Linked DNA regions of Neurospora crassa OR74A. The protein of the gene in region 2 interacts with the protein of the main gene of each other region in a pairwise test. Links are inferred from orthologs where the notes say so. Each region holds a gene or a part of one and is shown on either strand. Other genes may lie near its edges.

Evidence for each region.
Region 1: the proteins of NCU04316 (region 2) and NCU03219 interact in binary tests that used the Saccharomyces cerevisiae proteins (3 or more experiments, as listed by UniProt). The link is inferred for Neurospora crassa OR74A from reciprocal best matches to the Saccharomyces cerevisiae genes KEX1 and KEX2.
Region 3: the proteins of NCU04316 (region 2) and NCU08067 interact in a protein complementation assay, tested with the Saccharomyces cerevisiae proteins (2 studies listed by BioGRID). The link is inferred for Neurospora crassa OR74A from reciprocal best matches to the Saccharomyces cerevisiae genes KEX1 and SHO1.

What each region holds. Positions count from the first base shown.
Region 1 is NC_026501.1:4,941,452-4,945,648, forward strand, and holds the start of NCU03219 (Kex2), read right to left. Parts: upstream 2,833-4,197; 5' UTR 2,655-2,832; exon of another isoform or gene 2,605-2,654; 5' UTR 2,259-2,604; coding exon 535-2,258; intron 475-534; coding exon 1-474.
Region 2 is NC_026505.1:5,592,459-5,596,512, reverse strand, and holds NCU04316 (pheromone processing carboxypeptidase Kex1), read left to right. Parts: upstream 1-1,216; 5' UTR 1,217-1,453; coding exon 1,454-1,641; intron 1,642-1,711; coding exon 1,712-2,072; intron 2,073-2,126; coding exon 2,127-3,557; 3' UTR 3,558-3,776; downstream 3,777-4,054. Other genes in the region: NCU04317 (DUF431 domain-containing protein), read right to left, coding at 1-138.
Region 3 is NC_026501.1:156,686-160,912, reverse strand, and holds the start of NCU08067 (osmosensor protein), read right to left. Parts: upstream 2,877-4,227; 5' UTR 1,635-2,876; coding exon 1,485-1,634; intron 1,407-1,484; coding exon 1,098-1,406; intron 1,037-1,097; coding exon 527-1,036; 3' UTR 1-526. UniProt on the Saccharomyces cerevisiae protein: Plasma membrane osmosensor that activates the high osmolarity glycerol (HOG) MAPK signaling pathway in response to high osmolarity.

The DNA.
Region 1 (4,197 bases), on a different chromosome or scaffold from region 2:
TAGACAGCCAGACTGATGCAGAAGACACCGATAAGGGCGGCGGAGCCGTAGACCCAGACCATGGTGGCGGCTGACTTGCCGAATGTGGGCAGGAAGGAGGGCAGCCAGGTGCTGTTTGCAGGAGTGGTGGTCTCCGAGGTTTGTTCGTCAGAGGTGGGCGAGGGGTTGGGGGCGTCGGTGGGAGTTGGTTTCGAGTTGACGGGGCGGTTGGGATGGTCGGACACGGTGCTGGGCTTGGTGTCGGTGGCGATGGGTTGAGGTGGTAGGGTGGTCGTGGTAGCGGGGAGGGTGGTCGTGGGGATGGCGGCGTGGTCGTTGTCGTCTTCCTCGGTCGGCATCGGGAGTACCTTGGCCTTGGAGGCGTCCTTGCTCTCGCCCCAAAGCTTTAGATGCCAATCGGTGAAGACGCCCTCGTGACTGTTAATTTGGGTGTCTTTAACGATGATTGTCCAGTTACCGACGCCGGTTTCACCCCTGGTTATGTACAGGTTAGCAAAGATTACCTCGGATAATTGCGGTAACGCGTGCGCTTACCAGTGAACGACACTCATGAATGTCCAGTCATCATAGCCAGCGCGGGCCTCATCGTTCTTCCGGCTGACCGAAAGATGGCTGACCAGATTGTTAGGGCTGATGAGATCAACACTAAGATCTCCTCGTCTAGTATGCATGATGTTCATGGTAACCGTAATATGTTCCAGGCGCTCGACGTTGGCCTCATCCAGCATTGCCTGCGTAACTTCATAGCTGACGGCAACTCCCGTGTCTCCCTGGGGAATTGCTTTATTGACATGGATCCAAGGAGAGTAGAACCAGGCCTGAGGCTTCACCTTCTTCCAGGTCTTGGCTGCCTGAACAATGGCGTAGCTGTCGAGTTTGCCGTAGCCATACATATGGCTGAATTGTTTGCCAATAGCAGTCGTCTGCCACTCGCCGCTGTCAAGGTTGATAGGAACAGCAGTGTTCACGGTAAGATACTGCATATCTCTCCATGAGAGATCTGGGCGAACCTGCAGAACAAGAGCAAAGATACCAGCTGCGAGCGGAGCGGCAGCTGAGGTACCACCGTGAGTATCAGAACAAGCATTCCCAACGTCAGTCGTGTGGATCGAATCACCACCGCCGCTGGAGTATGTCACGACCAGATTCGCGGAACACGATTCAGAGTAATAGGGATGGTCGCCGTTTCTGTCAACGGCTCCGACGGTGATGCTGTAGATGCTGTTGGTGTAGCCATCGAAATTGCAATTATCTCCGTTTCCTGCACCATTGCCGCTGGCAAAGACATAGATTGAGCCCAGCCCACCACGGCCCTTCTGGACGGCATTGAGCATAGCCCTCTTGATGAGAATTCCGGGAGCATCCATACTCTGCCCGTCATCAGGGGGTCCCCAGGAGCACGAATAAATCTGATTGTGCTGAAAGTCGTAGTTCATAGCAACGGCTTCATCAGCGTCAGATATCAGCTTTGACAAGATACGCAGGCCGGCAATCCTGGAGTCATATGCTACTCCCACACCGCAGGCTTTGTTCTTCCCGGCCGAAACTTCACCGGCACAGCGAGTTCCGTGTTTATCGTCGCTTAATCGGGGCTTTGGATCAGGACCCTTGTCGTTAAAGTCCCATGACCCTTGGGCATAGTAGTTGTCTTTCAAGTCATCGGTTTCCATATCCAAGCCATCGTCGACAATGGCGACGGTGGCGTTTTTTCCAGTGACGCCTTCGAGCCAAAGCCCGGTAACATTCACGTCGTGCCCAGTCTGGACAGTGTTGAAAAGATGCCACTGCTCCTTGAATATGGGATCTCTGATGCCCAAATTCCCGATAACTTCGTTTTGCTTCTTGACTGCCCAGTCAACCTCTTGATCGGAAAAGAGACCCCTTCTAGAGGGTCCTACTGGTCGGGGGACCATGCGCTTCTCCCAAGGTTTCCGCAAAATTTGCTTCTCTGAAAAGAGAACACTATCCAGAACATGGGGCTCGTCGCCTAATGATCGTTTTCGGCGCCGGCGCTCCGTCAATTCTCTCTTGACGATATCGTGCTCGGCTTTCCTCCCAACAAAGAGATGGTGATCCTGGAGTTCACCAAGGGGCCCCTCATGAGACAATCCTAGGCTCCTGGCAACTTCAGTAGGTGACGTTCGGGCATCGAGATGAAGAACATAGTAATCGTTCGAATCGAAGTCGCGGGGGAGGACATTGGACGCTATAGCCAGAGCGGCCAAGCCCAGCGGCGTTGCGATAGCCGAGAGCTTCATAGCTGAGTTCGGGTAAATGATCTGGAGCGGCCCAAGGTCGGTCTACTTCGCAGGGGATGCGCAAGGTTGTGTAAGTGTTTTCAGTTGGTTGCGGTGTCGAGCACCAAAGACGAATTTGTACGACCGGCTCGTGTAGGTATATAGAGACAAGCAGAACAGTGTCTTATTCGATCTCAAATATGGCAGAATAGTAGCGCCAGGGATAGCAACGGTGTTGGCCAATAATCAGAATGATGTTACGAAGACGGCATCGGCTCCCGGCGACTGAGAAGAGACTGGAAGGTCGAATCGAAAGCTCGTCCCTGTCGAACGGACATGGAGGCTTCGCGCGGAACTGGTCAGACAGCTATTTATTGCATAAGCAACGGAATCAAGGAGGGAGAGGGCACAGCATACAGGACGAAGCCCAGTCGCGACCGTAGCAGCGGTCGAGAATCAGATAGGCCCACTGAGCAATCCTGTATAGGCTGGGAATGAAAAAGGCGGCACAGTTTCCCCGTCTCACCACAAAAAAGATTAGGAAGATGGGTTGATTTGAAGATGGAGAATTCACTTGTTGGAAGTTCAGTTCGGCAATCTGGCGATGTGGCCTAGTTGAAAACCATCCCGCCACAGCGCAGGGGTAATGCACACAGACGGGCTGCGCAAGTGGCCCGGGCAACAGGCTGGAACCGGTTGGTACCTAGGTAGGTAGGCAGGTACAGGGCAGCTGCCAAGCGAGAAACAACACCTCCAGGGGCAGAGAGAAGGACGGAACCTACCTACCTCAAGAGGTATGGACCCTGAATGAGGCGGCAGTTCTGGTGGGGCCGAGACTCTAGGGGCCCCTTGTAAGGGGGGCCCGGGCCCCCATGGGGCAGGAGCAGTGTCAGCATTCCACATGTATTCTGCGCCGTTACAAGATGTTGATTTACACCCCTCGACACCATAGAACCGTCTTTATACCAATCATACCTTGTCTTGTTGGAACGATCACCGAGATTTACCTTTGCTCAGTTTTCCATGTTCAAGGCGCTGCTCAGGGATGGGGTTTCGGTAATGTTCCGTACCTAGTGCACTGTCAAACGTCCCATCTTCCGGGTTTCGTCTTGTCTTCAACCGACATTCCAGCCGTATTCGCCATGCGAGACAAGACGAAACTTTGAAGATCATCTATGCTCAAAAATTCCCACTATCATCGATGGTATCTTGGGGAAAATTTAGTATACTGTGCATATCTCAGCCTTTGGTTCCGACACAGATGGTAACGACGACAGCATTTCCATTGACGCCTCCCATATCATGCATGGCGGTAGAGGTGGACGGTCTTCACGTTGCCTGCGGAAAACAACGTGGCTTCGAAACATGTTTGTGAAACGAGGCGTTTGCGTATGGGTTGGGCCTTTCCGCTTTCTCACCTCAATAAGGATGAATGGCTTCTATGATGGTGTTGCTCCCTTGGTACTCGTTCGGCATTGTCAAAGAATCGAAGAGGCTTTACGCCAACGCCAACGGGCAGGTCACCGAACCCGGCCAAACAACCACAGACAACTCAAAGTCGTGTAAAGGGAGACTGAAGGCAAGATGGTGGGCTGTATCGATGTGAACCACTATACCTACCTACCTACCTACTTCTTTGTTTTGCCTCTAGTAACCTCAAGCAATCTTCTACTAAGCAACGCGGCGCTTGTACCAGTATCATGGAGCCGTAAAGGTAGGTACCTCTGGTTACCCAGTGGTACGGCTCTTAAGCGTCATGTATAAGACAAGTACCCCGGCCACCACTCTCCTGGGACAACCTGATTACATACCACAACACTCCGGGCACTGTACAGGTCAGTGCTGACTCTGTAGGGCCACGTTCCGTCGTTAGATGCTCAACGATGTCTTTGTGCGGGCAGTCGAGCAGCATAGCAAGTTCCTTTCGGTTTCTCTTGAGTGATCAATTCAGTCCTGCAGA
Region 2 (4,054 bases):
CTGGGGCAGGGAAGTCAGATGGAACTCGGAACCGATCTCTTGCGATTCCTTGGCGATAGCGAGGTACTCGAGCTCGGACCAGGGGCCCAGCTCCTCATCGAGGTGCTCGACGATGTAGGTCTTCTTGGTGGCGGCCATTACTACGGTAGCTGGAGTAGGAATTCAAAAACCGGCTCAAAAGTTGTGCTGGGACCAAGATATTCAAGGATATCAAAAAGGTCAAAGTGAGGGTTAAGTTTGTGTGTAAGTGTTTGGACGATCTCACAAGGCCAAGACTAACATTTTCTTGGTGGAGCTTTCTGATGGCTTGGTGGGGTTCTCCGTGCCAAGATGGACGGCATGCCGTAACGGTGATTCAGTTCGGCGATCCGGGCCCGGGTTGCCTTGCCCGTTCTCGGAAGCCGGCCCCGCAATGTCTTATATCATCATTCCGGCAGAGATCCCGGCGGTAGGGGCTGTCCGAACTGAGGGATCATGTACATGTCTGATTGTTATGTCTAATTGTTGTCTCATACACCTGGGGAGAGTGTGGATGAACTTGTAATCGTATATACGAGGAGCTCACGCTTGACTGCCGAGATGAGTCGTGCTCGCGGACAATCGCTCGGTTGTTCAGGTCTGGGCCGATTTTATGAGCAGCTGTTCAGTTCTTGCCGATATCCGGATTTAGAAACTTTCGTCTGATGTTTTCCTCTAGGGCTGCTCTTTGTCAACCATCAGGGAGTAAAGTTGTCGAAGAGGTTTACACTCTGTCAAGTCATGTTAGTGGCTGAATAAGGCTCCGTTTATTCACGTCCAGATGCGGTGCCTGAAGATCTGGAAACAACCTTGGAAGCTCTCATAGCGAGTAAGTTGGTGTGTAATTAGAACTCTGTCCCCGATTCCATAACTATACAATAAGTTCTTGAGGCATTAGAATATAGCAGACAAGGACATTAAGAGTATTATCTTTCGATATCGACATTGCTTAGGTTGGATAATCGAAGGAAGGAGAATGGAACTGGCTTGCGCGTCCATCCACGAGGCGCATGGACTGAGTGACTGCATGGAAGAGAAGACCAGGCCCCCCAGCTATGTGTTAAGCTAGCATACCGGGATCGCCCAATACCACTAACAGGGTCCCTTACTTGTAATGAGATTGCCCCCTGTGAGGTCTAGCTGAAATGGAACGCCACTATCCGTGCCGCAGTGGCATTCATCCCACGTTGTACACTATTGTCCGTCCGCCCCAAGGACAGATTCCCTCTTTACCGTTTCATCCATGGATGCTGTCTCGGAGCAACATCTCGACCTTTTCAGAGTTCCTACAACTTTTGCCGTTGTCGTCGGCCTTCTTCTATCCTCCCCCATGAATGTGGTTGGTGGTGATAGGTAGCCAAACTTACGACAATTGTCTCCTCCTCCATCCCACCCACCACAACTGAACCCAGCGACTTGAGTCCAGTTGGTGATCATGGCCGCCACCACCACTACCACCAATGCTGGCCGGTCTATGGCTAGCTGGAAACGACTGTCGACTCTAATCGCGGCATTCACGCTGTCATGGACATCCAGCTTCGTCGCCGCTGCTGGCTCCGCCGACTACTTTGTCCATGATCTGCCAGGCGCACCAGATGGTCCTCTGGTGAAGATGCATGCCGGGTAAGTTCACTGTTGCTGCGCGAATCCAATATGTTGGGGAACACCAAGGCTGACATGTTCTCACAACTAGACATATCGAGGTCACCCCTGATAACAACGGCAACCTGTTCTTCTGGCACTTCCAGAACAAACATATCGCCAACAAACAACGAACCGTCATCTGGCTAAATGGTGGTCCTGGTTGCAGTTCCGAGGATGGCGCATTGATGGAGATTGGTCCCTACAGACTGAAGGACGAAAACACCTTGGTATACAACGATGGCGCATGGAACGAGTTCGCCAACGTCTTGTTCGTCGACAACCCCGTCGGCACTGGCTTCAGTTATGTCGACACCAACGCCTATATCCACGAGTTGACCGAGATGGCCGCCAACTTTGTTACCTTTTTGGAGAGGTGGTTCGCTCTGTTCCCAGAGTACGAGCATGACGATGTAGGTGCCACACTCTGAACCTCTTCGATTCGTTCTGTCTAACCGATTTCTCAGCTTTACATTGCCGGAGAGTCTTACGCCGGTCAGCACATTCCCTACATCGCCCAAGCTATTCTCGAACGTAACAAGAACGCTGGTCCCGTCAATCGCAAATGGAACCTCTCGGGCCTCCTCATCGGCAACGGCTGGGTTTCCCCCAAAGAGCAATACGACGCCTACCTCCAGTTTGCCTACGAGAAGGACATCGTCAAGAAGGGTACCGACCTCGCCAACAAGCTCGAAATCCAACAGCGTATCTGCCAAAAGGAAATCGCCGTCAAGCCCGACAAGATCGACTACCCCGAATGCGAAGCTATTTTGCAAGACATGCTCCAACTGACTGCTGGCGGCGTCGGCGCCAGCGGCAAGAACCAATGCTACAACATGTACGACGTCCGCCTGAAGGACGACTACCCCTCATGCGGCATGGCCTGGCCCCCCGACCTCAAGAGCGTAACCCCCTACCTCCGCAAGAAGGAAGTCATCAAGGCCCTCAACATCAACGATAACAAGTCTACCGGCTGGACTGAATGCAACGGCCAGGTAGGCATGAACTTTAACCCCAAGACCAAGCCGTCCATCACCTTGCTTCCCGACATCCTCTCCGCCGGCGTTCCCATCCTGCTCTTCTCCGGCGCCGAAGACCTCATCTGCAACCACCTGGGCACCGAAGCCTTGATCTCCAACATGGAATGGAACGGCGGCAAGGGCTTCGAACTCACCCCGGGAACCTGGGCGCCGCGGCGCGACTGGACCTTCGAAGGCGAACCGGCCGGCTTCTGGCAACAAGCGCGCAACCTCACCTACGTGCTCTTTTACAACTCCAGCCACATGGTCCCCTTCGATTACCCCCGCCGCACGCGCGACATGCTGGATCGGTTCATGGGCGTGGATATCAGTAGCATTGGCGGACAGCCTACGGACTCGAGGCTCGACGGGGAGAAGTTACCCGAAACGACGGTCGGCGGCGCAGCAGGGAATAGCACGAGCAACCAAGCGGCCGAGAAGGCCAAGTTGGAGATGGCCAAGTGGGAAGCCTACCGCAAGTCAGGCGAGCTGGTTCTGGTGATTGTCATTGTTGCTGCGGGCGTGTGGGGATGGTTTGTCTGGAAAGAAAGGAGAAAGACTGCTGGGCAGGGGTATATGGGTGTTGCTACGGGCGAGAGACATAGCATTTCTAACAACCCGGGACCTCGTGGGAACCTTAGTGGTGGTGGAGATAGGACGAGAGGTCAAGGATTGGCAGGTTTTAGGAACAAGAGAAGCGGGAGGAGGGATGTTGAAGCGCAGGATTTTGACGAGAGCGAGTTGGATGATTTGCACTTGAGCAAGCCGGAGGACCCGCATGCGGATAGTAGGTATAGCATTGGTGGTGCTAGTGATGATGAAGAGGAGCAAAAACCGGGGAAGGGTAGTTCTAGTAGGCAGCCTGGGGGGAGATCGTGATTAGTTAAGTGGTAGCTCTTGGGTGAAATGTTGACTTGGTTATTCTTATAGACTATCGGCGTTTCTGATATCCTTGGCAGGCAAGCTGGTACGGGTTTTGGCTTGGGTATTTTATGATACAGAAAACATCACACATTTGTGCACAGGACCAACGGTACTATATACAGAGGCATCTAACCTCAACGCGCCATGCAATACTTACACATTACATAAAATAACAAGTCACGTATCGTGATGTTAAGGCTTTAGGCAATTTGAGTACCATCTTATCTTGAGATTGATCTGCACAATGAACCATTCCAAATTGACGTAAAAACATCAACACCCCTTTTCCTATGTTCGCAAATCCTATGCCCCATTAATCAGAAGGGACCATACACGGTGAAGAACACTTTTTTGTGCATCAGATTTGACCCGAAAAGCATCCATGTGAAGACTATCGTAACATAACTAACGTAAGAAAAAAAAAAAAAAAAGAAAAAAAAAACCCCAGGACG
Region 3 (4,227 bases), on a different chromosome or scaffold from region 2:
CCATGCATGAAATTCGTAAAAACAGCACCCATTTCCATCTTCCCCCGCTTTTTTGTCCTGTTCCCTCTTCCATTGCCATTCTCCAGTAGCGGCCTATCCTCTGCCGTAGCTGCCGAACGCAAAATAGAAGACATGTAAAGTTGATACAAGAACTAGTGTAACACGAGAAAGGAAAGACATTGAGAAAAAGGGTAAGAGAAGATAGAAAAATGACATTGCAAGAAAAAAGGGAAAAAAAACTCCATTTCCACCCAAACCTTGCCCCGTCCGCATCCAACATCCGGTTTCGCCTTCGTTTCCAAACGAGCCACGGTTTTTGGTGTGTCGCATTACGAGTCCCGTGGGTGGTCGAGAAGAAAGTGTAACGTTAATGTGGGTATAAAACGCCGACTCAAAAGAAAGATAGATAAAAGAAAAAAAACCACTTCATGATTTTGTTTTGTACTGGCGGTTCACACGCCAAATCCTCTCTTTTCAAAAAGACGAAGAAAAACCTCAACTCCATCCCCGACCCATTCAAGCCCGCTCATAGCAAAATCAAGTAATTGCTCGGCGCAATACCCGTTTCTCCATTCTCCTTCCGTGCCTGCCACCACCGCCCGCTCACGTCGCTAATCTCCAGCACCTCATGCTTGGAGAAACTAATCTCGTTGGCATCGTCCGGGTTGGCCTCATAGCTGAATATCGCCTTGGCCCTGTACGGGTACTCCGTCGGCGGAACGATCTCCCCTTCTCCTTGCGGCTTGGGGATGTTGTTGGACGAGAAACCCTGGGGAATCTGCGACTGGCGAGCGGGGTTTTCGAGCCCGTTGAGCTGACCCGTGTACATTTGCGGAGGCTGGAGGCCCGAGGCCGAGGTTTCAGGGCGCATGTTGTAGGAGCCGTAAGCATTGGGAGAGGAGAGACCGTTGTGGTTCATGGTTTGGCGGCTCATGTGATGCGCAGGGAGGGTGGATTCCTTGGTCAGCGCAAAGGAGTCGATGTAGGCACGGGGAACAGCCGATGGGGCGGAGCCAAAGTAGAATATCCAGATGATCTGGCGGGACGTTAGCAAATGGGGTCAGCCAGCTGGGGGAAGTTAGCGGGGAACCGCATACCGTCACCATGGACAACAAGATATACCCAGCCGCTGTCGCCTCCATGGACGCAACGCCACTGTAAATCAGGTTGTTGATCGACGACGTGGAGCCGACCAGCCCGACGGCCAGGTAGCCAACGATGGCGACATGGTAGGTCTGAGCGCTGTCCGAGGCGATGACGATGAAAATGCCGAGAATGAGGAAGAAGTTGAAGACGAGGGTGAACCAGCTGTAGGTTGGCCAAACAATGACGGGAGCCCCATTCGATCCGTCATTTTGGTCCCTAAAGCCAAAGATGGATCCAAACAGGATGATGATCCATGACAGCTGTGGTGATTGTCAGTTCGTGAAGGCGACAGGACGGGAAAAGGGTGGACGCCAGCGCGCGCGCGTATGGAAACTCACAGTAGCAATAGAAGTAGTGGCCAGAGCAAATGGGTCACCAATAATGTTGCCCATGTCTATGCCTTTTCGGCGGTACGAGTTCCTGCCGTGTTCCATTTTGGGGTTGTTGAAGGACGGGGGATAGTTAACCGATCCTCCGTACGATTGCATCAAGGGCGAAGGTCGCCAAGGAAGAGCGTCCTCTCGGGATATTCGAGGTCCGTGTTATAAGTGATGGACCGACGTGTGTGGGACACTTTAGTTGACGCACACCTTCACTTGGGGTATAAGATGACGGCGAGGGGCCGTGTGTGTGTCGTATTCCGGGGACCAGTCCGCGGTTGGTAATGCGATGTGTTTGTTCTGCAATGACAGATGCAATGTCACGAAAAAAAAAAGAGAGGAAGTTCGACGGCGACAAGTGGTCGAAGTCGAAGCAAGAAATTCGGGTCGGGTAGCAATTGTCGTTTGCTGCAAGACGTTGAGCGAGGAATTCGGTGTCCAGCAACGCGGTATGGCTCGTCTCGGTCGTTGCAAATATGGGTAGGTAGTAATTGGGCGATGTATGGAAATGAGTCGAAGGTAGGACAGTTGCAATGTTATTGAAAGATTGGGTGGTCGCTGTCGGGCTGCTCCGTCGGGTGTTTGTTGGTTGGCAATCCGCAAAGAGGAGGCTGAGTCCAAGGGAAGTGGCCGTCGGGTACTCCAAGGACACTCAAGACGAGGACAGAGCCTTTGAATCTTCAGGGGAAATAAGCAACGAGTCGGTCGCACGGGTCGGGAGATGTGACGGTACGGTAGTTGTCCGTTGGAACGAATGGCGGCGGCGGTACGGTATGGGTAGATACGGTAAACACGCAAGATCAATCGGTAGTTGGAAGAAGGGCGGTAGAAGAGTCCACTGGAAGTCTGGAAATGGTCCTGGATTCCTTTTTCCTGTTTTCTTTCTTCTTTTGTTTCCCTTTTTCTTTGTTTGTCCGGTGTATGACGGTAGTCGGGTGTGATATCTCGGTACCTGCCAACGTCGTATTGTACTATCCCCCCGTCTTGTTCCGGTTCGCGTTAATAAAGGGCTCAGCTCAGCTCAGGGTCGGACAATCGTATGCTGTCGTCGTCGTCGTCGTCGTCGTCGTCGTCGAGGTTGATGAGGTTGAGGGAACGAAGGGAGCGATTGATGGATTGAGCAAATTGTTGTTGGACGTGGCTGGGGCGATGATCAACGCCGGCCAATGGAGAAGTGAAAGGGAAGAAAAATTGAAGGAGGGAACGAACAGAAATGAGGGGATCGCACGGGCAGGACGGACGGACGGGGACGTGAAAAGGGAAATGGTGTGTGTGTGGGTGTGGGTGACGACGGCTGGGTGGTGGTGGGAGATCCGGAATGGAAGGCCAACGACGGGGCCTGGCTGAGGGACTCCGGGGCGGGCAGCAACCGGGGGGGGATGAGGTGGCTGCTGCTGTGGAAACGAGTGGACGAGACCGCGCAAGAGAAGTGAGGAAGGGACCAACAATGGAGCCCACTGAATCCACTGAAGATGGGGGGGAGCCATGTCCGCTGTGGAGGCTCTGGACTCCTGGAGTGCGTTGCCTGGCGGCTGCTCGCTGCACAATGAATGAATCCTTCCCTTGCAGTGACATAGGTACAATGTCCGGGCAACACGCGGCAACACTGCGAACGAGCCAATCGCATTATTGCATTTGCTGGGCTAATGAATGCAATGTCCAGTCAGAAGAGGCACGGTCCTCAATCTCACTGCAAATCGTTAGGCCAAGACATTCCAGGCGCTGCTTACCTACTGTACCTCTAGCGGCTGTGTGGGGACGGGAGCATGGAGCAAATTAGAGGTACACAGACACAGGGCGGGCTACTGTAGCAGCTCGATTTCTTTTTCTGCACTTTTTGACAGTCTTTGTAGCTGATGGTGGTGATTGATGGGGAGTCATACCTACCTAGAGGTAGACTCTGCTTGGGTGATTAACCTGTTCAAAGTGAATGATGGCTCTAGGGTACTGGGTCATGGCCAGGACATCTTTATTTTTATTCTTGTTTTCTTCTTCCATCTTGATATATCTTACCTCGACACTGTTCAAACTCATAGTCAAAAAGTCTCAAACATTCACAACATTGTAACACTCGGAAGTCAGTCAGGCAGCTAGCCATGTGGCTTGCGTCTGTGCTCCATTCACTCATTGCTAGGTCGTCCAGAAACATCGTGACCGACTGTAAATGATAGGCTGAGAGCTGGCTACCATGCGACATCACTCAGCTGAGCTCGGTGACGGGCAGAAAATGTCAACAGAGAGACGGATTCACCATGCCACGAATCCACACCCATGCAGCATGCAGGCAGGGGCTTTAGGCTCGCCGCGTGAGTTCTAGGGCAACGCCGTTCGTTTCGGAATCCCATCTGCAGGAGCCAAACAATCACTGCCGGCTATCAAGCGTGTTTGTGACGTTTGTAAAAAGCCTCTCCCGTGAATTCTCATTCCAGATAGAGCGCTACCACAGCACCGTCGATCTGGTTTTTGTCGGTGCTAACGGCGAGCAGAGTGTTGATATCGGCTGAACATTCCAGTGGGCCAAAGATGACGCCCGACTCCCGCGCATCTGTCGCGTGATATCTGCCGCGCAATGACATCTGCCCCATTCCCTTGGTCACTAGCATTGTTCTCGTACGAATGTGCCAACCACTGTTGATCTGCTCTTCACACTTCGTAAAGTGCACGCGCGCTACCAACGGCGTGTCGTATTCCATACGCACAA